Linked DNA regions of Oryzias latipes. The protein of the gene in region 3 interacts with the protein of the main gene of each other region in a pairwise test. Links are inferred from orthologs where the notes say so. Each region holds a gene or a part of one and is shown on either strand. Other genes may lie near its edges. The genes, in order: E3 SUMO-protein ligase PIAS2, stx19 and 5'-AMP-activated protein kinase subunit beta-2.

Region 1 (10,062 bases), on a different chromosome or scaffold from region 3:
CATGTCGCCGTTCTTGGAGATGAAGACGCACTGCTTCTTCGGAGGAGGGTCCGAGTCCGAGTCCGAGTCGTCTGAGGACGAGCTCTCCAGGGTCAGGTCGATCACGTCTGCCTTCTTGGTGGAGCTGGGCTCTGCGGGGGGGGCCACCACCGCCGGCTGCCGCACAGGCGTGAAGGCTGAAAGGGAAAAGGGAGAGAATCAACAAAACCAGGAACAGCAGCAGCTTTCTTCAAGAAGGAAAGTTGACGTCCAGGAGCTGCTTTTCCACAAATGTGGGACCAATTCTTCATGAAAAATGAGCGAACTGACGGAAATGTTGATTGCAATCCTCCTTCGTCCTCACTTTTCCATAAAGGTCCGTGTTAATGAGAGATTTTTTGTCTCATCAGGAGAACGAACGTGGAAAGCAGAAAGTCAGATCAGAAGACGGTGAAGTTCTCTGGAGCTCAGCAGCGCTTTAATAAAGCAGGAATCCTCCATGACGCTCCAAACTTTTACCGTGTTGCATAAATGAAAAGACATCAGAGACAAAAATAAGATATTTGTTTATGCAGACAGTTTGCATTACTGCTGCTGAAGATTCATCATTGATGGATAAATAAGAGCAGAGATGCTCTTCTGATGGAGACGCCTGAGGTGGGGGGGTCTGAAACCCACGTGTCACCCACTGGTGATTTTGGAGGGGAAAAAAGACGAAAAAACATCCATTGTTCTTATTTGAAATCATTAGTCGTCTTGTTTTTCTTTTATAAATGTGACAGAAAGGACTTTTATTTTTTCCGGTGGAGTACAAACAGAAGTGTACATTTTCAATTGATTAGCTGGTGAAGATCAGCCAACCAGACATGGAGGAACTTCACCAGGAGGCCAGGAGTGAAGAAGACTCTGGTTTCAAGAACATTTGTCTTATTTTCTGCCTTGCAAGGAAAATAATCTCATGAAGGTTTTTCAGTAACAGTAAAACAATCTTGAGGAAACATGAATTCTCGGTCAGACCCTTTTTCTTACCCCATTGGCAGATTTTTTAAAGAACGGGATAAAACTTTCTGACAGACCAGGGCGGGGTACAGGCGGAAGACGGGGGGGTACATACAGTCTACTCTTGCGGGCGGCTGAGAGGAAACCTTCAGCGCCTCCTTCTTTGGCCTCATCGGGCACCAGGTTCCACCCTCCAGGAACTTGATCTCATCCACGTCTGAGCAGTCGTTGAGGATCTCCAGGAACAGGCTGGAGCGAGAAAGGAGACATCGGCGTCAACAAGAACACATACGTGGTGAGGGTCTGCTGTCCATCAGAAATGAACAGAAGACTCCAAGTCCTGCTGGCCCCCCATCACTAATGAACTCCTCCACACCATCGGGGAGCTGATCCTCAGAAAAGTCCCTTTGATCTTCATATTCTTCCAACAGGACAACAGTCTTTATAAACTTGTTAAAAACAAAACCCCTTTGCAGATTCATCAGAAGTAAAACTCATCCATGAATCCATTTCTCACCGTAATTAACCTACAGTGACTCCACTTTTACTCATCAGTCTTTTAAAGGGCCTATGTCATGCTAATTTTTAAACTTTGTAAGTGTGTTATAATGTTTATTCCTCACAATAAACATCCCCAAAGCAGAACTTTGATCCATGCATGCGATTCTGAGTATTCTTCTAAAAACCTGCTCTCTAAGCGCCAGCCCCTCCCAACCCACAAAAACGAGCACATTGTGACATCACAAAGTGAGAATCCGAGTCAGAACGCTTTAATTTTATACGTAATATGTGATCATCCATCTTTACAAAAGTTGGGATCTCGTTAGTTTTCGTTGGAGAAACGCAGACACACAGCTGAGGCTCTAAGATGACGTCATGAAATAGGCGGCACCCACAAGGAGAGAAAGGCGGGGCTTAGAGATCGAGTCGTCTTACTTCCGGGTCGGAAAATAACTCTGGAAATATTTAATAAACATTTGTAGTGCCAAAGGTCCTATATGATCACATACACGGATATGTTTACTATAAAAAAGGTTAAGAACAGCATAATCTAAGTCCTTTAAAGACCCACTCCAAGGAAAATGCTGTTTTACTAGAGGTGCAACACATAAAAATATATGGTTTGAATTATTCTTCAGATCAGCAAAAAGAAACATAAATATAAAAGCCAATGATTAATCTTCTGAAAATCTTTGAGTACTTCAAAACATGTATTTACACAAATAAATACACATCACATCATAACATTTGCTTATTGAGGCCTACTTTAAAAAACACTATTGACATTTTTGAACTCAAGATATTCCTGTTCATAAATAATACTAAGGATGCCTGTATAAACAAAGTGAAATAAAGTGAATTTCTTTAATTTGAACCTAAAAAACCAAGGTGTTTCTCTGGGAGTCTTTCCTTACCAAGAAGGAGGGATCCCCAGTTTAGTTTAGTTTAGTTTGTTTAGAATTTACCTATTGAATTGTATGTCTTCCTGATCTTTATGATTTTATTTTTACTATATAATAACAAGTATTAAACCCAATGAGACAAATAAGGAAGTAATATAAAGAAAATTGCATTTCTGAATATTTCTGTGTTTAAATCGTCGTGAATGAGGAGCAGACAAAATCCCAGTTTGATTAAAATAGTGTTTGTGACGTAGAAAATACGCTGGGCGGGGCTAAAGCTCTGGACCCTGGCTGATGGCTCTCAGTGGATGACGCAAAATGAAAACATGCTGCAGAGTCCGTTCACTCGTTTAACCACAGAAAAACCTGGGCATGGCGAGAAATGCCAGGATGGAAAACATTCCCATGAGAAGCGCGTGCTTCAACAGGACGGGGAACTGAATCAGGTGAGCCTGTAAGCTCACGTCCATCTGGAGCTGCTGCAGATGAAGGTGTGCAGGAAAACCAACCCGTCGATGATGAGGTTCTCATACGCAGCCTTCTTGTCGCAGACGGGACAGATCCAAGTGGGCTTCTTCTCGTTCATCTGCAGGTAGAGGGCGGCGTCGAAGCACTGCAGGTGAGAGCACGTCACTGCTCTGCACGGCACCGTCAGACGCATCTTCCCCAGCTGCCAGAAAAGACGGGAGCAGAGTCAGGCGCAGAAGAACCAAGACCAGCAGAACCGCACAACCCAGAGAGGCAGAGGAGCTCAGGAAAAGACCTCCGGGAACGCTTTGACAATAGATCAGAAGGGGATCGGAGTGGGACTTTCAACACAGGCTGATGAAACCTCCTTCTGCCAAGAGATCCTTCAGTTTACAATCCTAGAAAAGCAAAAGAATCACCAAGTCCTGGGTGTCTGCCAGCCGAGGACTGGCCCAGCTGGAACCATGATCACACACAAAAAAAAGTAAAGGTAAGAAAAAAGTTGAGTCTTTGTCAGCATCATGTAATCCCATAGAGGGCATGTCAGAGTTAGCGCAGACCTGCTGTAATTTCCCTTTGAGCTGAACCAGAAACAGAGAAACCAGTAAGATGCTGACAGTGGAAGTGAAGACCGGAACTCAAACCACTGATCCCACATCTACGGTCACACAAAGGAGCTGCTTTGTGAGGAAATCACTCATCTGGCTGCAGCGCTGAACAAAAACCTCTATTTCTACATTTAGCTCTTTGCTTGCACCAGCTTACATCACTAACTAGACTACCATCTCTAGTTAAACAGGTTAAAGACTCCAGCTGCGGGTGACTGACATTCACTGCAGCCAATCAGAAAGGCCCTTCAGTGGAGACACTGGGATCGGCTTACAGGGCACATGAGGGACACCCGCAGACTGGTGGTGGCGACCTCGCTGTCTGGATCTGCCGTCAGCTTCTCTTTGACTGAAACACAGAGGGAGGGGGGCGTCAGACAAGGAGGGGAGACAAAGACGACGCAGGACAGGTCAGAAAGTAATAAAGAATTACTCAGAGCTCTGGAGTGGTCTGGGTTCCTGATGCCCTTCATCTTCAGCCTCTGCAGCAGGAGCGGCGATGTCAGCTGCCTCACCAGGTACACCGACATAGAATAGGTCTGAAACAGAAAAGCTACGCGTTAAAGTTCTGGACGTGACTTTGGTGCAAGCAAACCCGGTCCAATCACCACATCTGCTCACCTAGATAGATAGATATTCATAACTTACTACCGTAATTTCCAGGCTATAGAGCGCACCTAATTACAACACACCCAATTTAATGAGGATTAACCACTATTTATATACACAAGTCACATGTGTATTCATGCCGCATGTCATGGCGACTCAGCTGATGCGTCACTGATTATCTTGACCCGATTATTGATAGACCACGGCAGTCTCAGAGACGGAGGAGTAACCAGTAGTTTAGCCTATTTGTTTGAACACACCCACATCTGTCAAACAGCATGGAGCTCACTTCAGCTCACAGCTCCCTCAGTTATGGTGTGGAACTTCACACTCAGATTCCCCACTTCCCATGAGTCTTAGGGGTTTAAGGCAGGGCTAACCCCCGGTTCGCCACACTGTGTTGTAGATTGAGGATGTATATGTGCTGAAACCAGTGCGTGTTTAAGAAGGAGCAGGGAGCTGCAGCGGAACGCGAGAGCAGCTCTCCCCTCCTTCCTTCCTTCCACGGCACCAATGTGGAAATAACAGGGCTGGTTAAAAAACATACCAGTAAAAGAGAGCAGCAATGACTTATAAGCGCGCGTGGCACGTGCTCTACGTGGCTCTGCGCGGCACACATTCTATGTGGCTCTGCGCGGCACAGCCACAACAGTGAAGGAAACTTCTGGCAGGCAGCAGACCAACTTTTCCAAACCCGTTGGTGATGGTGGATTTTTAAGCTGCGTCATATTGTAATGGCGGTCACGTGCACGTTGGGTCTAATGGCACCAAAGGATGAGCATGGGTTTTTCTTTTATTGCACCATGACTATAGTGTCTAACAACTGAAGTGAGGTCCATGCTGTTTGGCCGCTCGTGTGTGTATTAAAGCCATCGCGCTTGTTGCTGGACGTAGAATTATGCAGGCAGTCTCCCCTCTGAGACTGCTGGAGGGCTCCTGGCGGCCGTTAAATAAAAGCATAAATTAGCCGCATCATTGATTTAGCCGCAGGGTCGAAAGTTGATTACAAAAGTAGCGGCTTATAGTCCGGAAAATACAGGGGGAAAAAAATAATAATACCAAAAACTACATAAAAAGTCCTTCAATATGTGATAAACCAGAGAAATAATAATAAATAACATGACAAAAACTTCCACAGTATCACACTTTACAAGAAGAGCTCCACCTTTCCGATTTCCGGCGCCCATGTCACTGAGATCTGGTTGGGCACTGCGGAGGAGAGTCTGACGAGGGACGTGATGTTCAGGGGTCTTCCTGGTCTCTTCGGCTCCACGCCGTTTTTCGGGGGTGGGGCAAAACCCTGAGAGAGGCTGGATCAGTTGGTGTGAAGTTCCTCAGAGGGTTGACGTTCTGCGGGGCTGAGTACTCACAGGCAGAGGGAACAGCTTTCCGTTGACCTTGATGCACAGACCGTTGGGGTAGTTGTCCTCCTGAGGACAGCTGGTCTCCGACAGGCAGAACCTGAGCACACAGCAGGAAGTCAGAAACTGAAATCTCTGCTCGGTTGTCACGTCATCAAAGTCGGCTTTCTCCATGGAGATCATATGATGGAACTAATCTGCAGAGGAAACGATGCTGCAGCCGAAGCGGAGGCCACAAGCCCGAACGCAGGCTCTGCAGTCCTGGTCTGGGAACTCAGAGAAATTAGACGAAGCGATTCCAGTCTTCTCTCATTTCCACACATGCTTGTCAGATAACCAGAACTCCCTTCAAGTAAAAGCGTTTTCAGCTAAAGGCTCTTCCTCACAGAGCGCTGCTACAGTTTCTGCTCCATCTGCAGACTCTGTGGGTGAGTGAAGATCCCAGCAGAACCTCTCCGAATCAGCTGTGATCCCCCTGAACTTCTGATCTGATTAGCTGTGATTGGCTGAAAGGAGTGCTTAATCCTGCAGATTTCTGATTCTGAACTGTGAATTGGACCAGAGGACCCCAATGGCAACATTTACCTGCAGATTATGATAAAAACCTGAAACTTCTTACCTCAGCTGGATCTGAACTAAGTAGTCCCTCCTTCCTCCAGGTAGGAAGTCCCTGAGGAGAGGAAGAACAATCAGTCACGGGGCTCTCAGTCACGTAGCCGATGTTCCAAAGATGACTCACCGCGATATGCAAACCTCCCGGACCTGCTGCGGCGTCAGGGCAAAGATGAAGTATTTCTCCTGGTGGTACCTCTGTGCAGCGCTTACTCCTGCAGACACACAACACGCCCTGTCAGCGAACGCCTGAACACCATCAAACCATGAAGCACGGAGGTGGTAGTGCCATGGTGGGATGTCTAAAAAATAATTCACTGTGAAGACAAAACCCTTTAGACGAAGTCAGAGCTCTGGAGTCACCAACAGAAAAGGGACTTCATTACGAGGTATGTGTGTGTGTGTGTGTGTGTGTGTGTGTGTGTGTTGGGGGGGTCACAGAGTCTAGGATTTAAGTTCCACAGTATATGGAACTAATCAGCTTTAAGAAGGTTGAAATAGGAAAACATCTGATCCAAGTTCAAAGGTGAAACACAAAGAAACGTTTGATTGTTTTGGATTTTTCAGACTAAAAAAAGCCACATAATTCCAAATTGAAAATGAAATCCCATAAAGTAACTGATCGGGAATAAAGAAACATTACTGAATTCCAGATGGAGAAAACAGAGAAAAGGGGTATTTTTTTTATATGACTATATAACCAAACATCAAACTCTGCTCTGACACGACTGCTACTGAACATCTGCTCTACAAAGTGGGACATAAAGTCACTGCTCTGAAACATTTGCTGTCAGCCAGGAACTGTTCAACTCTTTTGTGTTACCCATGAGTTACGCCTGGGAATTGACAGGCTGGTGCTGCCTACTGGGATTTAGAACTTGATGTTAAGTTTTCTTCTGAAACCAATAGCTCATCGTCCTGGTTTGGTCTCTGTGGAGTCTGACTGGAATAAAGATCAGAGCGGATCTCATCTGTCAGCCCTGCAAACATCACACACCCAGACTGGAGGGCTTGATGAGGACGTCCAGAACATCGTAGAAGGGGAGGGGTTTCATCTCCACATCAGGGTGGACGGGGGGAATGAGGGGAGAGGGCTGCTGCAGGTTCATGGCGATCTCTGCGTGGGGCCACACGTGATCCAACAGGTCCGCAGTACTGGGGTGCTTCCTGCTAAAACACAACAGTTACACAAAAACTACAACACAGTCTTACACAAGCCCTGAGGTGCTGAGGTGGGCTCCAGGACGGCCCCTAACACACCCAGGACCAATAGGACCAACCATTGGTGATGTGGGCACAGAAGCAAACCAGGTTATCTCCACCTGATGGTAAAATAAAGGTTAAAAAAGTGATAATATCCAGGGAGCAGCCAGTAAAGCGTCTAAAGCTGAGCCCATCTGCTGCAGCTGGAAGACTTCTACTGCATGACGACAGAATCCAGACATCTTGACTCTTTCTGCTAGAGTCGTCTCACATGATTCACTAATATAACACGGTACACGAATCGATCACAAAAGATGCAACTAACTTTTATCTAAATGGATACAATCTAGTCATCATTGAAAAATAAAAATGAAAATGCCTTTTAACAGAGAAACTCTTATTTTTTTTAGCAACAAAATGTCTTTGAAGCGACAGCTTTAAACATTAAAGCCTACGAGTCTGAGTCTTTTAGAACCTTTTTCCTATGGTTAAAAAAAGGTGTCATATCAATTTGTTCAGGTATGAAGGTATTCAGCTCAACAGGAAGAGTAACAGACAAAGAAACCGATTTTTTGTTTTACTCCCTGATAGATTTTAGAGCTTGGTCATTTCTAACTCCATCAATGTTTTAAGCATTTCTCTATGGATTACATCCCTACTAGAAGCACAGTTCTCTCTGTTCTGTAAACTGTCATCATTTTCTTACAACTCTATAAACAAGAAACAAACACCCTATAACCAGGCTGCAAATCTTCACTAGTAGATAAATCTGCTTTAGACAAGTCAATAAGCAAAGTAAGTAAACTCCTGAGGGTATAAAAAGCTCTTTAAAGAATTAAGAGTGCAAAAGTAACTACAAAAGAGCCTGTGAACAGGTAACCAATCACTGAACCAGTCTGTAAGCAGTCAGTAAAAGCTGAATGACCAGTCTGTTCAAAAAAACAAATATAAAAATAAAAAATAAGTCAATTCCGGAACAAAACCTAAAGAATAAAGGCAACTGAAGGGTGACAATCACCCCAAAAGGTCCGTAAAGCCCCAGTGTTCAAGTTGTAAACAGAGTCAGAACAGTTGTAGGTTTAACCACAATAACCAGCCGGTAAATAGTCAGATAAAGAACCAAAAAACAGGAAATAAGCCTTCTATAACCAGGCTCTAAGCAGTCAAACAACCAGTCTGTAAACATCCAGTTCATAAAATACAAAAACCAAACATTCGGTGGGAGCCCAGCTGTTAGCGTGTTAGCTTGCAGGCTAACAGCTGCTCACTGGGCTCCTCGCGCCTTAAGCTCGGGGTCAGACGGGGTTTCTGCTTTGGTTCGGTTTGAGTCCATCTGTTCTGGTCGGTGCCGTCCGAGCTGTAAGTCCACATGAGACGTTGTTTTTGTTTTTTTCCATTCCTTTTTTGTTGCTTACCTAAAAATCCCCGCTCCCCGCCGCCATCTTCGACTTCCTGTCACATACTGCACGACGTAACGACGCCCTTCTGACGTCATGCGTCATTTGATTTCTGAACGGGGACCTCTTAGCAGAGGCGGGTAAAATCGAAAAAACATGTTCTAAAGAGAGAATTGTTTCACTTTAAAATATTTTTGATTAAGTAGGATTAAAGAAAAAAGAAACAATGATCCTAACGATTATTTGATTAAGAGTAAATATATAAATTATGTTAAAGCTACCAAACTATTAAGTAACAGAGCAAACCTGATTCTAGAATGAAACACTGAGGAACTCCATCCAGGCCTGTATGTCTGCATGTTTTCTATATTTCAACCCCCTACTTACAGATGATTACCTGGATCAGGTGTGTTCAAAGCATCCAGGAATGCAGCCCCTGGTCGGGTAAAAAGATAAATAAAAATGTGAAAATTCTGACGCTGCTGCCTCAAAGGCTCAGTACTGTGTGTGTTTAATCTAACTTGCAGAGCTCAGCCTGGGGTCATACTCAGTGAAGCGTCATTTTAGGGGTCACGAGGGTCAACCACTTACAGGTTAACCCGTTAGTCAGGCTAAACTTCTTTTCTGAAGCTGCTAGGCTTTGTCCAAATGTGAACTAATGTCTGAAGCAGTAAATATGCGTTTTCTGAAACGACAAATCCCATCTCTCCATGTAGAAATTTGATGGATTAGACTGGGTTTGGTGGTCGGCATGGGAATGGGAAATCTGGCAGAATTGTGGCAAGTTTGGTGGAGGGAGGATTATAATGCGGGACTAGCATCTTCCTGTTCCAACATGACAGCAAACCAAAGAAGGTGGACGTGGATGAAGGTTTGGTGTGGAAGAAGCTGACGGCTCCCTAGAACCCTGACAGAACGAACGCCTTTGGGGTCACGGCGGACCGTGAGCAGACCTTCTCATCAAACACCAGAGTCTTTAACGTCAAAATCTGACATTGCAAATCAACTTCCATGAGAACCAATATTCTCAATAAAATTGTAACCTGTGGAAAGTTTAAGCTGTTTTTTGGTGCAAAAACCAAAAACAGGTATATGTCAGTAAAACATCCACATGTGAAGGTAGAGGGAGAACACTTAAACACCCTTTTAAGGACCCTCATCCTTTTGAAACATGAGCTGGGGTTTCGGGGCAACAGTAGAGATTTTGAGGACGCTGTTCTTTTAGATCCAGCACAGAAAAAGCTGGACCTCTTGTCAGAAAAGGATGGTCTTCAGGTCAGCTGACTGAATAATGAACACAGCAGAGGTCAGTCAGAGCCTCTGTTTTGGAATTTCTTTAGGGGATAACTTTTCTTTTTTTTAAATGGGTCTAAAGCAGGAGACTTTAGTGGATCTTTTTCAGTTTTGCAATTTCTGAAAATCA
Region 2 (10,129 bases), on a different chromosome or scaffold from region 3:
TCATTATCACACGCTTCACACCCTCTTGAAAGAAACAAGTGCTTCCCATACCAATTCTTGCCTCTAATTGTTTTCAATGCTTGGCTGCCTCTGCTCACCCGTTGCTCTGTTCAACAGTCTTATTTGGCGGGGCTCAAACGTCACAAACAGCATCTCCATGGAGGGCAGCAGCAGCAGCACAACTGCCTGCATGGATTTCTCTTCTTATACCTGGCTGCCAATTTGAACTTCTCTTTAGTGACAATCACATAGTCCTGTGTCCTCTCAACATTGGTTTGGATGTGCTCAATGGCAGCCCCTTGTTCTTCCACCAGCATGAAGATGTCCAGGAAGAGGTCTCGGAGTTCCTTCATGTTGTTCTCCAGGCTTATCAGCTCCTGTCAAGTTACACAAATCATTGTGGTCAAACACTTTATGTTTGTCATACAGGGATATTAGCTAAAACTCTTCTTATAAATGCTAAATGGCCTGTACTTGTTGTATAAAGCGCTTTACTACCTTCTGAAACTACCTTCATGCCACCCTCAGCACCGCATGTTCAAGTGACCTCTTCCAATGAAAAGTATATGTAAACAGGAGAAAATGCGCATTTCAGGCTTCCACGTTTAAAACTCGCTATCACGCCGAGCTACTCCTGTTTTTACTACAGTTTTCGGGCTCTATGTACGAAATGAGCAGCCTCTGAATGCTTGTTGCAAGTTAAACCGGATCAAACTTTGACCAATAAGGGACTCAGATTTGGTAGTGAAGTAGGTATTCAAACTTGTCGACCGTTTGAAAATTGATTATAGAAAAGAAAGTAATATTTAAGATTTGTGCGGCAAATAGAATTCTATTGACACCAAGTCTTTCATATATTGGATTGGAGCTGTGAAAGAAAAACCCTGAGATTTGTACCACTTTCGCTCCAAGCCTCTTCCAACTGCAGATGGTGGACATGCGCTAGTAAACAGAGGTAAAATAATAAGAAGAAGCCCCTCCCTGCTTGTCCAGCGTGAACAGGGGCTAAATGTGTGTTCAAGAACCCACCTTTAACCTATCATATGCCCGGTGAGTCTGTGGTTTTAGAAGGCCCAAAGCACTTTAAAGTCACAGTTCCATGCACACACACATTCAAACCTATCCTGCACTTTTATTTGCAAACTTTAAGATGTGCTATTACTTGTTGATTGGGAGACTATAATAACAGAAGTTACTCAGATACTCCAAGACAAAATGTGTCAATGTCTTAGTCTGATTGGTAAATAATAAATGGCTAATAAGATGCAAATGATGAAAACTGAGACACAAAGTTCTTATTGATCTACAGAAATATGTGCATTTACAAAGTATGCATTGATTTAGTGCGTTCCAGGACATTCAGCAGCTTTTGAAGTTAAGTTTTGCCGTGGTTCAGTGACTCTCCGGTGATACCCTCACCTTGTGTCGCTGTTCGATCTCGGATAATTGGGAGCGTGTGATTCTGGCGTCATTCAGCAGATTCTCATTGAAGACCTCCCATTTTCCCGTGGCCACCATCTCATCCACCTCCGCCTCTTTAACATCCTTTCCCAATACATCCAGCTGCCGCATAATGAAGTACTTACAGCGCTCCTGCTTGCTCAGCAGACCTTCATTATACTGGAGCATGACCTGGAAGGAAGTTAAGGGAAAAAGACAATAGGAAAAAAAAGAGAAGAGGAATGAGAGGGCTTTACAGTCCCACCTTGTTGTGCAAAAACCTCTTCATCCTTAACACTGAACTGTTACAGCTACAGTGTTTAATCGCTTGAATACATTCTCAGTATACCTTTATATATTAAGCAACCAACTCTTTTACTCAGAACTCACTAGTGTGCTCTTGAAATAAACAAAATAAAGAAAGACGTTCTTTTACAAAGTAGCTGCAAATCTTTCCCAACCTGCTTGAATTTGCTGTACAGAGCTGCGTGCTGTGTCTTCTGTATTCTTGTTGCTGCAGCCGCCTTTCCTTGCTGCTCCTCGGTTCTTTGGGCTTGTTTTGCGATGGCGTCCAAGCGGCGATGGATGCTTTCAGCCTGAATCTTGATGTCCCGTGTTAAGCTGCTCTCTTTCTTCATCACACTAAACCGACGCATGGTTGCCACTAAGGTCTTCTGCTCCTGAGTGATTTTCAGCACCTGAGCAACATTTTAAAATAAGAATTTTGAGAAAAACTTGTGATTTAATTATAAAAAATGCCTATCTATTGGCATCACTGATAAGAAAACAGTTATTTTCTGTCTTGCAAGAAAAATAGCTGAATCAAGAAAGTTTTTCAATAGCAAAATAGCCTTAGTATGAGAAAACGTGTTAGTGATTAGAATTGTTTCATTAAGAGTTCCCCTATCTCATTGTGAGATTTTTTTTTTTTAGCCTATCCAAAGAACATTTGCCAATGGAATGAGGATTTTTGACTTATAAAGGACCTGTTTTTTCTGTGTTTAATCTCTTACAACAATAAAAAGTACACACACTCTTTTACAAGTTAGTGACACTTCTTTTTTTTTTTTCTTTACCTCAGTTTCAAGTGTTGAGATGTCAGTGCGGATTTGCTGAGCTTCTGTCAGGAAACTTTCAATGATTGGCTCTGCCTCAAACACCACAGCCTGTGGGGTGATGCCTCCCACCACCACAGAGTCATCATCACCATCCTCCTCTGAAAAATGATTGCCGTGGTCATTTGCCACCTCTGAAAACTCCTGGGCCCTGAGCTGCAGCTCCTGCAATCTGTCCCTCATCCTGAGAGTGTCTTCCCTTCAGGACACAAAGTTATTGTGTGTACTCACTCTGCCAAGATGAAACAACAGAGCACAATGAGTGAAAAAAAAAGCACAACGAAGAGCACCAATCTTTTTTGATTTGCCATTATTTGGAAATCACATAATTATATTAAAAGAAGCTAGCTAGTACATTTTAGCTTATGAAATCTGAAATAAAAAGACAAAACAACATTATTTTTCTCTTGGAAAATTTTAGAAAAGTACATTTAAAAGAATTAAGGGAAAAATGCATCAAATACAGCAATGATTGACACCAATAAATAATAATAAAAGTGACCTTTGGAAGCAGTATGCCAAGATTTTACAAAAACTAAAAACTGTATAACATGTTAAACTGAAAAAGTGTCTAAAGTGATGACCTTTGCATCAAATATGATTATATGACCTGCATGTGTGTTTTACTTAATGGAATCACAAGCATCAGTACAAGCAGTGGTAACTCGTACGAGTGCTGCAGGTTTTTGGGTTGTCCGGGCCCATAGTGGATCGTAGATAGAGGTAGAGTAGAGTAGCGCAGGTGTGTCTTGCAGTTCCATTGAGGCTAGTGCGGCCACTTTAAGGAAAGTCTTAAAATGGGACGTACCATTGTTGTGTGTTTGGTTAGTGTATCATGAAGTATAAGGCAAAAGGAATTTACATGCACCTATGACGTACAGGTAAGTGCATGCACGGGGTGTACCGGTGATATGTAGGCATACACAAACTATGCTGTGATTGTCTAATATCCAAATTTTTAACAGCCAGGCTGTGTGCAAGGGGCGCACACTTATCACTTTAACAGCACCAAGGGGGGACGTTGAAAAATGGAAATTCTGTACAGCGTGCCTGCTTCTCACTTAGTTCACCCTTCCTTACCCTTACGTGTTGCATAAGTGATCGCTATGACCTGACGCTCACAGGATTCCCGTAGGAAAAAATGTGCATAAACATTTTCACCATATGGGCTCACTGAGCTGTCTACAACTTTAATAGTTTCTCCGGGCCACCTGCGTGCCCCACAAAGATTTGTCAGATTTTCACCCGTAAGGGGAGTTATGACTGAGCAATAAAAGGATGTTGTTTTGGCAAAATGAAAACCAACTACTAGAAAATGCTTGTTTATCTAAACATCGGTCAAACTGACTGGAGTTCCATTTTCCCATGAGAACTTGGTTGTTTGTGTTTCTTAAGAAAATAAAAGGAAAATGAGGACGCAAGGTAACTCAGTAAAACCCTAAACTAAACCAAGTATAATGAAATCTCATTTAGGTCACATGTAAAACAAGATGGTTTTCATTGAGACTTTGCAAAGTAGTTAAATGATATTCTACTAGATAGTTTTAGATATTTAAAGAGTTTGTTTTAAAAAGTTGTTAACTAATTTCTTATTTTCCATTCTGTACATCACAGAATAAAATCTCTTCAATTTGTTTTATTCAAACACAAATTTGCCTGCTCTCACATGGGCATACTGAACATATTAATCTGCCTTAACCTCACTTGGGTCCAAGTGTGAGGGGTCAGGACATAATCTTTGAAAGGAATGTGATAGAGTGGGGAAAAAGAGTGAATGTTAAGAAATCCAGCATTACAAATCACAGGCTGTCCCCTCCCTGGATGGATTTTAAACAGGAAAGATAAGTGTGTCCGTGTATGAGTGTGTATGTGTTTTTGTTGTAAACAGAACTAATGCGTGAGAACTCAAAGAATGCAGCAGAATTTAAAGGAGCTGAGCACTTTCCTCTCTTGCTGTGTGTACTTCTCAGCACAGATTAGCTGATTAAAACATTGGTGGTGGGATTTGGCAGCACATTCTCCAGGGTTTATCCCCAAAAACCTGGACAAAAGTGGAGCATGCTTCAGGGAGCCTGACCTTTGTGTGTGACAGAAGGTTTTGTTCCCTCAAAAAGCGCAAATATTTTTTTCTCTCTTTGCCATACACCTGTTCTTTTGTCTGTGTTTCTGAAGAAAAACCTTCTGTTGACATTCTCTTGTTTCTGTGCAGGTAGGAACTGAGTGCCCGTATATTCCACCGCCTGTCTTTCTATATCAATAAATAAACTGTCTGCTTCTATTTTCTTAAAAAAAGCTACTCCTACTTTTAAACAAAAAGTTATTTTGAAAGTCAAGTAAAAAAAAAAGACTTCTTAAATATAAAGCCTTGAAGTTTAGAAATTCCTTAACCTAAAATGTGAAGTCATATCTGACTAAAACCAGCATAGATTAAGTCTAAAAGAAAGATTTAGTTCTTAATTTACCTTAATGTTGCTTGTTTCCCAACAGGCATCTCTTTTAGGAAAGAAAAACTCAGAACAGGAATGCCATCCAACTCTCCCAGGTCACCTTCACATTCACCTGATGATCTTCAGCTTTGAATAAAAAAAAATATATTGATGTATATACTACCATTCAAAAGTTTGACCACTAGCTGTTAACAAGACAGTTACACTCCAAGCAGGGTGAAAGTCTGATGAAGTCAGGTTTTAAGCTCCGCCCCTTTTTCATAGGGAAAGCACTGAATGGTCCAACCAGGAAAGCAGCACATTTGAGACCGGTTTGCTCTCACATAGAAATGAGAGGTGATGTGACAAGGAGAATGAGGAGGTAGAGACACAGAAATCACAAACCCTGCCCTCAGGCGTATTCCTTAGCAAAGAAAACAGAGCTGAGCAAATAGAGGTGTAATGCGTAAAAGGTGGAGGCCAAACAGTAACGTGGTTCCACTGTACTGGAAATATATACAGTGAGAGAACTTCTATTTAAATTTGTTTTGTTTTGTCAATTTTTTTGTAGGTTAAGTTCTTTTGCTACACACATTTAAAGTGACTTCTAAATTCAGTAACTTCACCACCATCACCTCTTTGTAAGTCCATGACATTTTTAGGACTTCTCAAGAACACACCTCACCATGACTGTAGAGTGGTGCCCAGTGGTGACTAAGAGGGAGAGGATCAGGTGGAAAAGATTTACACAAAAGACTAATGATTGGTCACATTGCATTTTTCAAGTCTATGGAAAACCCTTAAATATCTACCTTTAAAAGAAAAAAAAGTTGAATATAAAACAAAATACAGAAACATTCAAATGTCAGTAGAAGATTTTTTGTGATAAAAATTAAAAACGAATCATCAAAAAAAGGTAGTTCAAAGACTAGAAGCCCCAAGACCAGGAGTCAAAAACCTGAGGCTCCAGAGATGCAGCTCTTTTATCCCTCCATTCTGGCTCTTTAGCTTTAAAGAAACATTGTGATAATTAAAATAAATAATTTATTTTTATCAGGAATTCATTGGCAATTAAAAAATAAATACATTTTTGTTGTTTATACTTCGATTGTTAACATGTCACATAACTGAGCAAACCAATGGAAACAGGTTTTATCTAATTTATTTTTAGAATACTTTTAAGGCAATCCTGCTGCAATGTCCAAAAAAGTAAAGAGTGCCTAACAACTGGGATTTTTTTTTAAATGTAAAAAAACAAGATAACCTTTTAGTTTAATTTTTAAACCATTACAGGAGTGTGTTTTGTTTTGCCAGCAAGAATTGAAGTAAATGGGTAAATCTTGAACAGCTAGAATATAGTTTGGTTAATAAAAAACAAAAATAGAAATGTGACATGACATTAAAATTAAATTAACTTAGGGTATTCAGAAACAAAATCAGCCCCACATCACTTCCACCAGGACTTTCCTTGGGAAGCTACATTTCCCATAAACTGAAGATGTTTTTTTTTGTTTTTTTTCCAATGAAAACATGGCTACCAGGATTAATCAATTTTGACTAGGATTCTTTTTTAGTTAATTCAAACACTCGAAAAACCATTTCTATGTAGTAAACTTGTAACAATCCCACATAACAGCTGTTCAAAAGAGCAGTTTGTAACGTTTCTTTTTTTGCCAAGCAGTTCCTCTCACAGATCTCCCATCACCTTTTCCCATCCATTCCCACCACCTTCAGACCATCTATTGTCAATTTCATTTTTCTCTCTACTACAAGGCCCTTGGTAACAGCAACACTCCTCTATGGAGTAGACCTAAATTATCAGCAGTCGCAGAGAAACCTCACATCATATGAGGATGACATGACATGGCAGGGTAATATCTGACTTCTCGACGAAGACAAGCACCGGGATGACGTATGGGTTATACACCAGGAGACAGAAAAAATGAGAAAGAGGAGATAAATGAGTAAGGTGATAGAGATGGTCAGGGGGGCAAGGATAATGGGGTCAAAAGCATGGTCATTAAGCCAATTGAAAAGATTGATACAAGGGTCAGTGTCTTTTAAAACTAAAATGAGACAATCGATGACCTGGAAATTATCTGTTCCCCTTGCAAGTCTGTGATATTGTGACTGAGGTCATTGAGATTTTAATTACACTTCAGCGTACACTTTATTCACTAACCAACATTCCATTGCGTCTTTGAAAATATACCTAATAAGGAAAAATAATTCTGCTGTTTTTTGTAAAAAGTAATAACCTTAAAATGAACTTCTTAAAGAAGCAACTTAAAGGTAATAATGGCATTAAAAAAATTAAGAAGAATAGAAAAAGAAATTGAAGTGACAGACTAAAAATTGTTTAAATTGTGAAATAAGGAATATTATGAAAAGCCCAAATTCTAACTTAACTTTCCTTCACATCTGAGTTTAGACAAACAGTGTATCCTAGAAAGTGCATTCTACTATATTAGATGGTCAATGAAAATCGTGTTTTTTTAGTTTTTAATTTGTTCGTGTGGCATTTTTCTCATGAAAAAGAACAAATGTAATAGGAAATATTTTCATTTTTTGCATTCTGAGTATTTCACTTTTAAATAGCTGTCAGTCAAACTTTCGCTGTTGTTGGCTGTACGTATTTAAATGTAAACTTAAAGTTAGAGTCCCATTAGCTATCACTCACCTAGGTGCGTGAAATGTCTCCACATTTGTGCTCCCTCTCAGAGTTGGAAGGGTTGATGTCCCGCACTAACCAGAGGGTAAAAATAAAAACAAAAATAAAATCAGGGAATCTCTTTTAATATTGCCTCGATGAAAATAAGAAAAATATCATAAAGTTCTGGAGGCCCAAGCAAGTTGGCTCCCCGTCCCGCAGCGGCTCTCTGTTGGGCTGCCAGCTCGTCTCCCGGAAGCTGACATTGTCATCGCGATCGCTCCACCACCATGGGCCTTAAGACAGGCTGTCCAGGGTGTACCAGCCTTCACCCAACAGTAGCTGGGACAGTCTCTGGAAACCCTGCTGCCCTAAAAGGGACAATGTAGGTTAAGAAAATGGATGGAAGTGCAGGAGAACTATCGGAATCATCCGCCATATTGGATGTGTATTCTACTCGCTTTCACTGAAAATGACACATGCCCAAAGTTGAGTCCTTGATTTGGTTAATTTGACGCTGCAACCTCTCCAGAGTTCAGCTTTTTTAACTCTGGCCCGCAGCTCGAAATGTGCAGAAGGACCTCAGATTACATCTGTAGCATTGACTTAACATGAAATTGGCCATCTCTGTCGTGCAAATCGCATTTGGCCCCTTGATGGCTGTGTTTTCACACATGCAAGACACAGTTGGCATCATAAGAAAAGTGGCTCAAGGGTGGAGCTCCTCAACTCAGCACCCACAGTCACACAGTAAAGGAGATTTTGGAAACAGAGGCTTCAGATAAACATGAAATATGTCTTTTTAAGACATCTCAGGTTGTGATTTTGGTTCAACACATCACAATCATAATCAAAACACCATTGAGATAATTTAACAAGATGTCCTTGAAAGGCCAGTGTTTTTTCCAGATCCTTTAGAGCAGCAGTTCCCAACCCCTGGGCTGTTGACTAATACTGGTCCATGGGACAATTGGTACCAGGCTGCAGGGGAAGATTGTTTTGAAAAATGTACTGGAGTCTCTCCATTACATCCGACTCATTCTTGATTCATGTCAAGTTGCTTGGTCACGTGTCAAAAATACATCCTCTACTTTCTGCGCTCACTGCTAATTTTAACCCTTAAGCTAGCATATTTAACAAAAAACAAACACATTTGGAATGTTTTTTCACAGAAAAGAGCCAGTGAGGAAACAGAAGAGCCTTTAACTTCAGACAAAAAGGAAGTTGTACATCAAATCTGCTCTGCATAATATCCAGCAACCGGCTGTCTAATGTTAGAAGGATGTTGCTATTAAAATTGTTTAAATAGTGGACTCGTGTTTACTATTCTATTTGGAAAACACCACTTTTTTTATTTTGTTTTCATCTGTCGCACCTTAATAGTTGGATGAGGCTGAAGGCTGCTAGATCCCGTTTTAATGGTTCCTACTTCAAATTTAGTGTATAAATAAAGTTTAAAGCAGCTGCAGATATTTTTGCAGAGGTTGAAAATACAATTAAATTAAATGAAACTGGAGGTTTAAAAAAAGGACACCCACATCAGGCCAGTTGGTGAAAATATTGTCTGACATTAATCCGGTGTGTGCCCTGAAAAGGTTGGAGACCACTGCCATAGAGGTGAAATTCCAAGGGACTCTCAAGTTTCTCATCACATTTGGTTACATGTCTCCAAAAACCAAATAACTGTCAAAGCTGGTATTGAACTCAAGCCGACAGCAAGTATCAACTAAATTATTGTTAACCTGGAACCATCAATGTTGAAATTGGACAAAAATCCCTGGAAGAAAATTTCAGAAGAGTTATTTCTTGTTGATTCCCACATTGGAAAAAAACAAGGAAAAAAATCTGATTTGATTCCAAAAATAAACATGTGCAGTCTGGATCTTTTTTAGGAATAGTTTTGTAATTCCTACGTGTTTTTGTTTTTTTTAATCAGCCATTTAACTTTGACATTTTACACAAATTTTCTGATTTTTGGATACAGTTTATTGGCTGGCAGGTGGTTTGACTCATGGGCAAACTCAACAGAGCTTCAAGTCCATTTGTCCCACACAAATGCCTTTTTCAAAGTTGTTGAGTGGAGTTGGCTTTGATCAGCGTGCCCGCCCTAGTTCAGGCTTCACCTTCACTGTTCAGAATCCACAGGTTTACGTCAAAGATTATTTGTATACATGTCTAAGACTGAACTCCCAAACCAATCAACTATTTCAACCTAGTAAGCTAAAGCGACTTCAAATGTGTACACACCAACTCATACTCTAAAAACAGAACTAAATTATTGTAACTGCAGTTGAAAATGTCTTTAACTGCAGAGTCTTCCAAAACAAAACAAAAAGAAAGTGTCTTGAAATTGTAATAAGCAAACAAAATAACACAAATAACAGCCTCTTGCACAGAAGTGACTCCTAAACTCTTTAAAGACGATGACTAAACATACGGTAGTCATTTCTAAAAAAAAAAATAGCTGTACACAAAATGTGGAAACTGTAATAAAATAA
Region 3 (10,162 bases):
TACGCAGGAACCAGCAGCTCAGAACCAAAACACGGGTGTGTCTTACATATAAAATTTAAATAAATGGCAACCAGTCATCATCAAAGCTCTCCTAGGTTCTCTTCATTTCTCAACATCAATGTATTCACAACATCTATGAAACTGAAATGTGAGCGCAGACAGACCTTTAAGCAGCTCCACACGTGTAACACACAGATACAGTACGATAGTTTTTCTTTAACAAAGCAGACAAATGTGAGAACACACTAATTAGATGGAAGACAATACAATGCAAAGGCTACTTACTGCATAGTTATAGCTTGTATCAACGATAATGCTTACAAACATTCATCAGAATAAAAGCAGCAGCTAAGCAAAGACTTTAGACCACTTCCTGTGTGGAAAAAAAAGAGCTACTAGTGAAAAAGAAAAAGAAATGGCTACAACTGTAGCTCTGGACTAAGCTGGGCATCACGGCTGCCAAAACAAAAACAGGAATACAAGCCTTTGGCTCAAACAGAATTCACAGATGATTTCATGACCCACTATTGCACTTCACCTTAACAAAAGGTCACCTGTCGTTCTGTTTACATTCAGCGAGCGACATAAAAAAAGTAACAACGCAAACGCAGCAGAAACAACAAAAAAAACAGACCGTTTACTGTCATCTAAAAACTACAATCACACAATCAAATGTGAAAACATACAAACACCACGCAGTGATTTAATCAGGCTCATCGGCAAGGAGATGTCACCAGCTAAAGCCGTAGTAGAGTTGTCTTCTTTTACCAAAACCCCACACCCTGTACCGTTGTTCAGAGCCCTGTGTAGAAGTGCGGCTTTCTTTGGAGCAGCCTGTAAACATGTTTCAGTGCAACTCCTGTCTATAAGTGATGGCAAACTGAAAAGAAAACGAACACGCTGCTCTCTCTGAGCATCTGAAGACGGGTTAGATGGGTTTGTACAGCAGAGAGGTGACATACTTCTTCTTGTATCTGTGAGTAGCACTTAGCACCATCACTCCATCCTACACAGAAGAAAAAAAAAAACAAAAGGGTTCAAGAGCTGCAACTCTGGAAGAAAAGAAATTGCAAAAATAATACAAAGTTAAAACTGCATCGTCCGCCCATTTTTTTGTGGAAAATATAAAAAAGCTGCCTCTTTTCAAGGTCAAAGGTCAACAACACTTTGGTTTGGGTAGCAGACTTAAAACGCCTAATTTCATACTCCTCATGGTTCTGTGGCCATCCAATAATAATTTCAAAACTTCCTTTGGATAGCCCCGACTCGTGTGTTTTGGTTTTGTTGATTTTTTTTTTTTGCCTCCTTTCATTTTTTGACAGTTTCGCCTGCTGTCATGTCATCATTTTTTGGAGGTGGAGGTGTCGTGTGCAAAGTTTGGGGAGTTTTTGAGAATGTGGCAGGGGTGACATTTTCACCAAAACATGCAGTAAGAAAGAAGAACTGTAAAAACAATCAGGTCCTTGCAGTCCAGGGCTAATTAAATGAAGACAAACTAGAACCAAAACTGTCACGATCAAAATTCAACTCAGCGACACTGAGGAAAACTAAAAAGATGAGGCAAAGAGGCAGATAAAAAATATATATATATTTTCCAATTTAAATGGAAAATTCTGTCTAAAAGCAACATTGTAACAGTGAATGTACCTTTATTGAGAGAGCGTAAAGGTGATTTAGCATGACGTGGTTGGGTTCAGGCAGCAGAGCAGGGTCACACTGAAGTGCAGAGACCAAAAAAAAACACAAAGATTATTGTTCAGAGAAACAACAGCAACATGGAAGCAGACGGAATTGACAGTAAAAGGATGAATCACTGAGAAAACGTAAAACACTGACTGATATGTTGGTGTCCTTGTTAAGAATGACTTGAAGCAGGTGAGGGGGGAGAATCGGAGGGGCTTTGAAGTGCTTTTCGGGTCTGAAGATGTACTGCTCTTGTCCGTACGGACCTGGAGGCGAGCTGGACAAGTCTGGAGACATGAAGATGTGTTCAAGGCCGAAAATGTACCAATCTATTTAGGCGAGCAGCAAGAGAACAAGATCTATCACAGGAGACGCACCTGATGTGTCCGAGCACTCCAGGGAGTCCACCTGCAGCGCGTCAAACACCTCAAAGTCAGACTTCTTCACCTGGATCAGGTTGTTGATCGTTCCCAGCTGGCTGGTTACCACCGGCTGCAAAACAGCAACGATCCTGAAGTTAATCATCTAACATGTCAAACATTAACACCTTAAAAAAAAACACAACTGCTATGACAAGCACCAAATGCTAAATGAAGAGACCAAACACACAAATTAACTTTATTTATAAAGCACTTTTCATTCTACAGTGAAACAAAGTGCTTTACAGACTTAACCCCCTGACGGCCCAATTTATTCCCAACAATTTCACTAATGCTTGTGCTTTTTAAGTTGATGCTAGATTAAGGTAAGTTTGAAGCAGAAGTTGTTTAATGAATATTTGCATGAATAAGGGGTAAAAAAAAACAATTAAAAATGAAATTATAAAACATACAGAACCATCCTGTCCAATCTGTTTTAGATGGGTTAGTTGACAAGTTTTGACCAATGCCAAGCTTAAAATCTGTTCTTACTGACTTATACTCCAAGAAAACATTTCCTATTGCTTCAACCATGTTACTTCATATTCAGTTAAGATGACTTGTTGCCAGCAAATTAGCTTGTTAACGCTTTCAGTTAATCCTTTAGGTTTTGATGTTGACTGCAACCCAGAAACCAGCAGAGCTCAAACTTTTTTCCACAAAAACTACAAGCACAGAAAAATGACTCGGGTACCTCTGAAGGATCATGAACCCACTGTCCATCCACGAAAAACTTATACTGGTGCTCTCCTTCAGGCAGGTCCAAAATGGCAACAAAGTCATTATGGCTTTGAGGAGGGAAAGAAAAAGCAAACAATATTAAAACGATGACAAAACTTCAAAACACATTCGACACCAGTATAACTGATGTAAAACCAACGGTTTACCTTTTATTCAGTGGAATCTTAGTGTTCCAGTTATTGAAAGAGCCTGCGATATAAACCTCCTTCCCCCCACCACCCCAGCGAATCACTGTGGGACGGGCCTGGGAGGCAGTTTTCACCAGGTCATCCAGATCCGGGGTGAATTCTTTATCTCCTAGCCCCTAACAGCAAACATAAATATTTATAATATGAAAGAAATGAGATTATATAGTGAAGTAGTTGGATTCCTACTTTAGACTCAGGTCCATAGGTGTTGAAGATGTTGGGATCATCTGTGCTGTCCACCATCTTGGTGCTGTGCTCCTGGTCTTTGTGGCTGCCGCTGCTGTCGGAACGATGGGCCTTGTTTCCATGCCGATCTCCAGATACCCTGTCACTTGTGTTACCCATGATGCTTCACTGCTTACTGTGCAAAATATAGGGGGGAGAAACTCTTGAAGTGGGAACTAAACCATTATTTATAACACTTTTATGACAAATGTTCATTCATGTTTGCATTGAGGATATTTATTATTCATATTTATCAGATGCTTTCTATTATTTTCTGCTTTCATAGAGGATTTTTGTCGTCTTTTCAAACAGTTTACAATGTAAGTCTTTTCTGAAAAACTTGTTTTTCACTGAGCAGATTAATGCCAAAAAACAAACTTGAAACTATTCTGTAAACACAGTTTCACTCGGTTTCTTAAGGGCATGTAAATGCATCTGGTGACAGTTTTTCCTCTCCTTATTTTTCCTTTTTCAGTTATTAATTTGAACCAAGTAAAGAGCCAGACTGACTTCAACTCCCTTGCTAAAAAAAAAGTGAACTCTGTAAAGATGATCTGATTTAAGCGAACTCTAGGATAACTTTTGTTTCATATTACTAAGAAATTACAAGAAAGTAATGTTAGGCAAAAATTGCTTAAGTACCAAAGTAAGCTTTTTAAAAAATATTGTATCATAAAACATTGATAAGATTGGTTTAAGTTAACGACATGCAACTATTCTATAATAATCATAGTAAAATGTACTTTTTACTAAAAACCTAAAAGAGAATACAACTTCTAATTGAATTTTGATCACATGATGGTGCTTGTTTTCACAAGCATCACCTTTTACGTCCCCACAGAGACACTGATCCCCCCTCCCCCTACATAGAAATGAGCAGTATAAACCTTTCACACTATAATCAAGTCCATCACTTCAAATTAGTTTACAAGCTAAGATGTCTTAATTTTAAAGGATAAAATAGTAGGAGGTTTCAGTGAACAACATAGATAAACGATCAAATTAAAAAAGAAAAAACTAAAAGCTCAGGGCACAAAAGCTTCTATTTACTACAAAGGCGCAGGTGTTTGCTGAACACTGTAGACTGGTGGGTTCACCGTGACACTGCTGGATTCATGGAACACTGATCAGCCTTGGCTTTAGTCAACAAACAGCAAATCCTATTTCGCTTTATGTCACATTGTGTGACATTCACATATGTCACACTCTGGTTTTACAGAAAATAAACTAAAATTGTGTTACTCGTGAGAGTTAAAGTTATAGCTATAAAAAACATCAAATCATCAGTTGTGATTGTTGTTTTTTTCTTCTTAGAACTAAGGATGATCCAGAGTCATATTTAAAAATAAATCAATCAAAAAACAAAACAGCCTAATGATGTGGAAAACAACGATACGTTTATCTTTAGATTATAAAGAAAATAAAAATATTCACAACAGCTAACCTACCCACGTTTAGAAGGTATTTTTAGCATCATGAACTATCAGTGAACTTCCCTGGACACAGATGGGTCCCTTCGAAAATCTGCTTTAACTACAACCGAATGACTTGCGAATCAATAAAAAGCTTAGTTCGTATGACAAAACACACTATTTGTAACCTACCGTGGTAACTGCGCAGGACGCTTTTGCTGTGCCCGCCTACCTCGCGACTGTCCTGGTGAATATTTTTAGCTGCTGGTCGCTGTTAAAGTCAGCTAGCAGCTAGCTAGCTGTCACTCTGCTTTCGAACCGGGAACTCCTTTCACTGTGTAAATAACAACTAAAACAATTTAACTAATTTGATAGAGTACTTGTTGTTGTTTTTAGTCATTTAAAAGAACCGAAAAGGGTTAGAAGCTCGGCCTATCGCTGCTGAGGCGATGATTTGTGTTGAAGAGCAGCAGGAAAGTCTGTGACACCAGCGAAGATCCTCCCCTTTTTACAACTACGGCGGTCGGTAAAGGAAAAAAAGCAGTCAGCCGCGACAAAAACAACATCCGGTAAACAAACAAACAAAAAAAAAAACATTTTTATGAAATTTTACAAATACTTAAATAAATGTAATTAATTCTTTATTTGGTGTCGTGTCTCTTCTTAATAGTGGTTGTAGTAAAATTATCCAAATAATGTACAATTTAGTCAATGTAATTTTTTTTTACAAATAAAATGAAATGAAATTAAAAGACATTTTTATACTATAAAATGTAACATATAGATGTATCAAGTATACTATTTATTTAATAAAAAAAAGATTTACCCTAATTTGCATAAAAAAATACAAATTATTGTGTTACTTAAGTCATTTAATGACGTTAATGCAATGAGCATAAGTGTTTCTCATTCATTTTAATATGTATTGTTGTCTATGTGTACTCTCGATTCAAAGTGATTAATTATTTAGGGGGGTTGTAATTACTTAATTTAATACACTGTATTTTAGGTAAAACAGCTGAGTTGACATCCCTGGCATTTTTCATTCTATCATAGCTTTTTTTCCATCAAGGTAAACAAAATGATTTAAATGACATTGTGGAAATGATAAGGTGTGATTCCCCCCCCCCTCCCCAGCAATTTGTTACTACAATATCAGCTCACCTATCACATCACAACTGCTTTGGTTGCGGGTGTTTATAAAATGTTTTAAAAAGTTTAAGTTACAACATTAACTGAGAAATTGAATTTTGTTTATTTTTTAGTGAGCGTATTTCTGTCCAGGGCTGTACTGTGGCGGTGAGTGCTCTTAGTTCACAGCGAGAAGGTCCTTGTCCAAATACCAGCTGGGACCTTTCTGTGTGGGTTTTCTCCAGGCACCCTGGCTTCATGCTAAAGTCCGAAAATATGCTTTATAGGTTAATTGGTGAGTCTAAAGTGTCCCTTAGTGTAGCTATGAGTGTGTGGCTCCATTACCGACTGGCAACCAGTCCAGGGTGTACCCCACCTTCGCCCAACAGCTGGGACAGGCTCTGGGGACTCTGTGACCCCGAAAGGGATACAGCAGGTTAAGAACATCAATGGATTTATGTCCAAACACTTTTATTCTGTCACTCATTTTTAAATTTTAACGAAAGACCATATTTCTGATGTTCATTTTTGATATTCATGAATTTATTTGCCTAAATTTTTTACATGCTTTAATATAAAAGAAAAAAAATTGATACATGACAGTATTATCCCCTGATATGTTTTTCATGATGCTATTTTCTTACTTTTATTTTTTAAAAGCCTCCTTTCCTTAAAAGACCAGACAGCCCTGATTGGTCAACATTTGCTGTAAAGCAGTTACTAATTGAGGCGTTTTCAACCTGATTCATATGGGCGAAGAAAAAAAAGGGGAAAAAATACATAAATTGTTTCTTTTAGCATTAAAGCCTTGCAGACTTAAAATCACCAAAATGGATAGTTCTGTATAATCTTTTTAACAGGACTAAACTGCAAAGCAAAGTACTTTAAATCCTTACAGCCTTAAGATATATAATTACAGGATTTCCTAAGATAATTTAAACCAAATAACTTATTTTTTTAGAATTTCATGGGGACTGTTTAATCAATAAAAGGTCAAATTTACTAATTGCAATGGAAAAAGTTCCAATACCTAAAATCTGACAACATCAAGAGCAAATCATAAATATGCATAACAACTAAAGCCAAAGCAGTCAAACTCTTTAAATATTCATAAATGCATTTTTTAACAAAACATAAAAGGCTAATAACAGTCTTATAGTAAAAATTTAAGAAAAAAGAAAACCTCCCACCTTTTAGCTTTAACATTTAAACACAGCACCAACCTGAACAGGTGAGTAACCCATGTTTTAAGGTCTTACTAAGGTCTTACTGGGTTGCAAAAATAGTCACACATGAGAGTGTTTCTCATCAGGAATTTCAATGCAATGACCATTTACCACTGTTTCATCAATAACTCAATAAATAGAATAACCGAAATCCTGTTCGTATAGTTAGTACATAAATACAGCATATATTTATAAAGATTGAAAAAATCATGTTCACGGTCTGCATCAAGAGGCTTTAAGGCACATTTCATAAATTACCACCAGAAGAATGTAGAGTTAGTCATTTTCACATGTCAAGAAGGTGTGTCGTGAAACACATTGATTTTTTGAGGACCAGTTGGCTTAAGCTCACAGCTGCTGATTAGATCTTTGCGTTTCTGTCGTCACATTAAGGAAGGTGTTTGAAACTTAAGGGTTCAGTTGTGCCTCTGGGCTTAAAACTCAGTGTCACCTTTCACATTTCATAGCAAACACAGCAAAGGACAAGAGTCAACCAACTCTGCAACAAAAAGATGTCTGTCTTTTTAACTAAAGTAATGCTGTGTCACAGTTTTTTAAAATCAAGCTTAAAGACCCACTCCAATTAAAATGGTATTTTTTGACAGGCTCTAGTGGCATTTTTCTGATGATGGGGGACTTAAATTCAGCAAATTAAGCTTAAAATGGCATTTCTGAGTATTTCTAAATTTAAATTGTTGTGAATTAGGAACAGATGAAAAAGAAAGATACCATTTGTTACGAAGAAACTACAATGACTAGGCAACAAGCTCCCGGCTCCGCTCCATTCCAACACAGCCACTTAAAGACAAATAGGTCCATGTACGTCTTTGTTTTCCTCATCCAACCTGGCATCTGGCTCAAAACTGTCCAATATTCATTTTTCTTGTACCACTGTTTGGTTGGGGGTGTGAGGGGTTGTAAGCACGAGGGAGAGAGTGTAAAAAGCTGAATAGTGGGGAAATGGGGGCAGGCTCACTCCGAACTAACGTTTCTGCCCACAACTTAGAGAGGAATTTCTAATGAACCACTGCCGTGCTGCAGAAAATATGTTCTAAAATACGATAGGTTTTTTGTTTTTGGCTAAAAACGTCATAGTTACACTTGGAACACTTTCAAAATATCTCACATGATGATCGGAGTGGGTCTTTAAAATAGAAACGCAGCATAAACAAATGACTCTTAAACTATTTATATCTATAGAACTGTATGGATTAAACATTGTTTAAGACTCAGTTGGAAAGGAGTGTTTCATGTGCAACCTCGAGGTAAAAATGAAAGCATGCGCACCACAACTGATTTAAAATATACTGTAACTACTGGCAGGCAAGTCTTACACATACAGCTTTCATTCCATCCACCAATAAAATCATGCTTTGTTAGCTTTTTTTTTGGTCCTTTAGAATTTTTTCTTACATCTTCAAGTCTTATAAATACAGTGAATGTTCTTTGTAGTCATATGCAGTATCAATGAGAGATTCCCAAGCCTGTCTTCATGTACTCGTAAACCACATAGCTGATGCTGACAGCTGGAATAACTTTCATGAAGTTTGGCAGGATGCCCCTGTAGAGTCCAAATAAGCCATCTTTGGCTACAATCGTCTTCAACAGGCCAGTCATGGAAACTTGCTCTGACGAACCCAGAGATGCTGAAAAGAAATACAAAACTTAAACTCTGGTTTGTGATTATTGATTATTATTAGTCATGTGGAGCAGGATAATTATTAACAGTTTACATTAACAGGATAGCTGGTGCATAGGCATTCCTAATTTTTGCAATGGATTTTTTAACCCTTGTGCTATCTTAGATGACCCCACCCTTACATTGACGTGTTCTCCCTACCATGACAAAGGTGGATTAAAGGTGGAAAGATTTCATGTGATCCATGGACACCAGTGAAGATCACAAATCATTGAAGAAAAAAGGTTCAGAGCACTGTCTAGTGGGTCTAGATGGCCCAACTCCCAAATTTAAAGTGTCTAGGATAGCACAAGGGTTACAACATTCTTAAGATACTGAGAAATTTATACAAATATGGTAAAGTAACTTTACACAGCTAAATATTCTCTGAAAAAAATGAAAATGTAAATAGTCTAAAATGACAAGACAACAATTATCAACTCAAAAATAAATCAAATAAAAATTTAAATATGGTTTCATTATATTTAAAAAAACATACAATTATATAAAAAAAATGTATTTGATAGTTTTTTATAAAAAAAGAACTTGAGGAATCTTTGCAGAGAAAAATGAGTAGTTCTTGAATTTATTAAGGAGTTTAATTGCAAAAATGATTAACAAGACATTTTATAGCTTTTGTTAAATGGAGTTTATTGTTTGTGAAATCAAAATTGATTTTTGCTCATTATATATGAATATTGCTGCAGATTCTTTAAATAAATAATAATAAATAACATTAAAATGTTTTTTTTAAAGACGTATTCAAGGTATTTACTTTAGAATGTTTTAATTTTGTATTTATCACATTGTCCAATGTTTTATGGGGAGTTTCAATTATTGTTTTAGAATCAGAAAAATTTCTTTCAACTAAATTTAGTAAAAAGTTCAGTAAGCTACCTAAAGCCAAAATATGACAAATATTTATTGTTTAGTTTTTAATGCAGTTTATTTGAACCACTTTTTTCTAGTTCCATATGGAAAAACTATAAGTTATTTTAAGTTCTTTTATTTTATTAGTAATGCATAAGCACTGCCAATGATCCAGCTGGAGATCAAAGTAGCAGTCACAACTAAAAATTCTAACACACTTCCTCACACTTTGGGGCTTTTCTGTGAATTCCCCCTCCTGGTCTTCTGTATTTTTCTTGGACCTGGCACCTAAAAAAAACTTCAATCATTTCGCCTTCACTTCCACCTGTGGCTCTTACTCTTACTAACTTAGCTGTCCCATAACACCATAGAGGTCATGCATGACACAAAAGACTTCAGATTAACAGGGTTGGACAAGTTTTGCTTTTACAGTACGATGAAAATCTTCTAAAAGCAGATCTGCAGTTATTTTTACATAATGTGGGCTTTAATGCAAAACTGAGCTTCTTTCAGCCTCATGTCAACCTCATTTACATGCATCTAGTCATAGTGAACTGAATTTACCTTGTGCCTGCATCCGTGTGCGTAC

What was found.
Region 1: the proteins of 5'-AMP-activated protein kinase subunit beta-2 (region 3) and E3 SUMO-protein ligase PIAS2 interact in binary tests that used the Homo sapiens proteins (3 or more experiments, as listed by UniProt). The link is inferred for Oryzias latipes from reciprocal best matches to the Homo sapiens genes PRKAB2 and PIAS2.
Region 2: the proteins of 5'-AMP-activated protein kinase subunit beta-2 (region 3) and stx19 interact in binary tests that used the Homo sapiens proteins (3 or more experiments, as listed by UniProt). The link is inferred for Oryzias latipes from reciprocal best matches to the Homo sapiens genes PRKAB2 and STX19.

Annotation. Positions count from the first base shown.
Region 1 is NC_019867.2:30,477,085-30,487,146, reverse strand, and holds the start of E3 SUMO-protein ligase PIAS2, read right to left. Parts: upstream 8,753-10,062; 5' UTR 8,738-8,752; coding exon 8,658-8,737; intron 7,357-8,657; exon of another isoform or gene 7,320-7,356; intron 7,210-7,319; coding exon 7,037-7,209; intron 6,255-7,036; coding exon 6,167-6,254; intron 6,098-6,166; coding exon 6,047-6,097; intron 5,528-6,046; coding exon 5,437-5,527; intron 5,367-5,436; coding exon 5,232-5,366; intron 3,997-5,231; coding exon 3,891-3,996; intron 3,807-3,890; coding exon 3,733-3,806; intron 3,052-3,732; coding exon 2,891-3,051; intron 1,228-2,890; coding exon 1,094-1,227; intron 177-1,093; coding exon 1-176. UniProt on the Homo sapiens protein: Functions as an E3-type small ubiquitin-like modifier (SUMO) ligase, stabilizing the interaction between UBE2I and the substrate, and as a SUMO-tethering factor.
Region 2 is NC_019879.2:17,535,492-17,545,620, reverse strand, and holds the start of stx19 (syntaxin-19), read right to left. Parts: upstream 5,313-10,129; 5' UTR 5,018-5,312; intron 2,788-5,017; 5' UTR 2,739-2,787; coding exon 2,517-2,738; intron 2,139-2,516; coding exon 1,902-2,138; intron 1,633-1,901; coding exon 1,420-1,632; intron 378-1,419; coding exon 141-377; 3' UTR 1-140. UniProt on the Homo sapiens protein: Plays a role in endosomal trafficking of the epidermal growth factor receptor (EGFR).
Region 3 is NC_019875.2:22,985,403-22,995,564, forward strand, and holds the start of 5'-AMP-activated protein kinase subunit beta-2, read right to left. Parts: upstream 5,183-10,162; 5' UTR 4,861-5,182; intron 3,393-4,860; 5' UTR 3,377-3,392; coding exon 3,218-3,376; intron 3,148-3,217; coding exon 2,990-3,147; intron 2,891-2,989; coding exon 2,797-2,890; intron 2,176-2,796; coding exon 2,061-2,175; intron 1,971-2,060; coding exon 1,837-1,970; intron 1,717-1,836; coding exon 1,648-1,716; intron 1,007-1,647; coding exon 929-1,006; 3' UTR 1-928. Other genes in the region: calcium-binding mitochondrial carrier protein SCaMC-1, read right to left, coding at 8,490-8,671, 10,138-10,162. UniProt on the Homo sapiens protein: Non-catalytic subunit of AMP-activated protein kinase (AMPK), an energy sensor protein kinase that plays a key role in regulating cellular energy metabolism.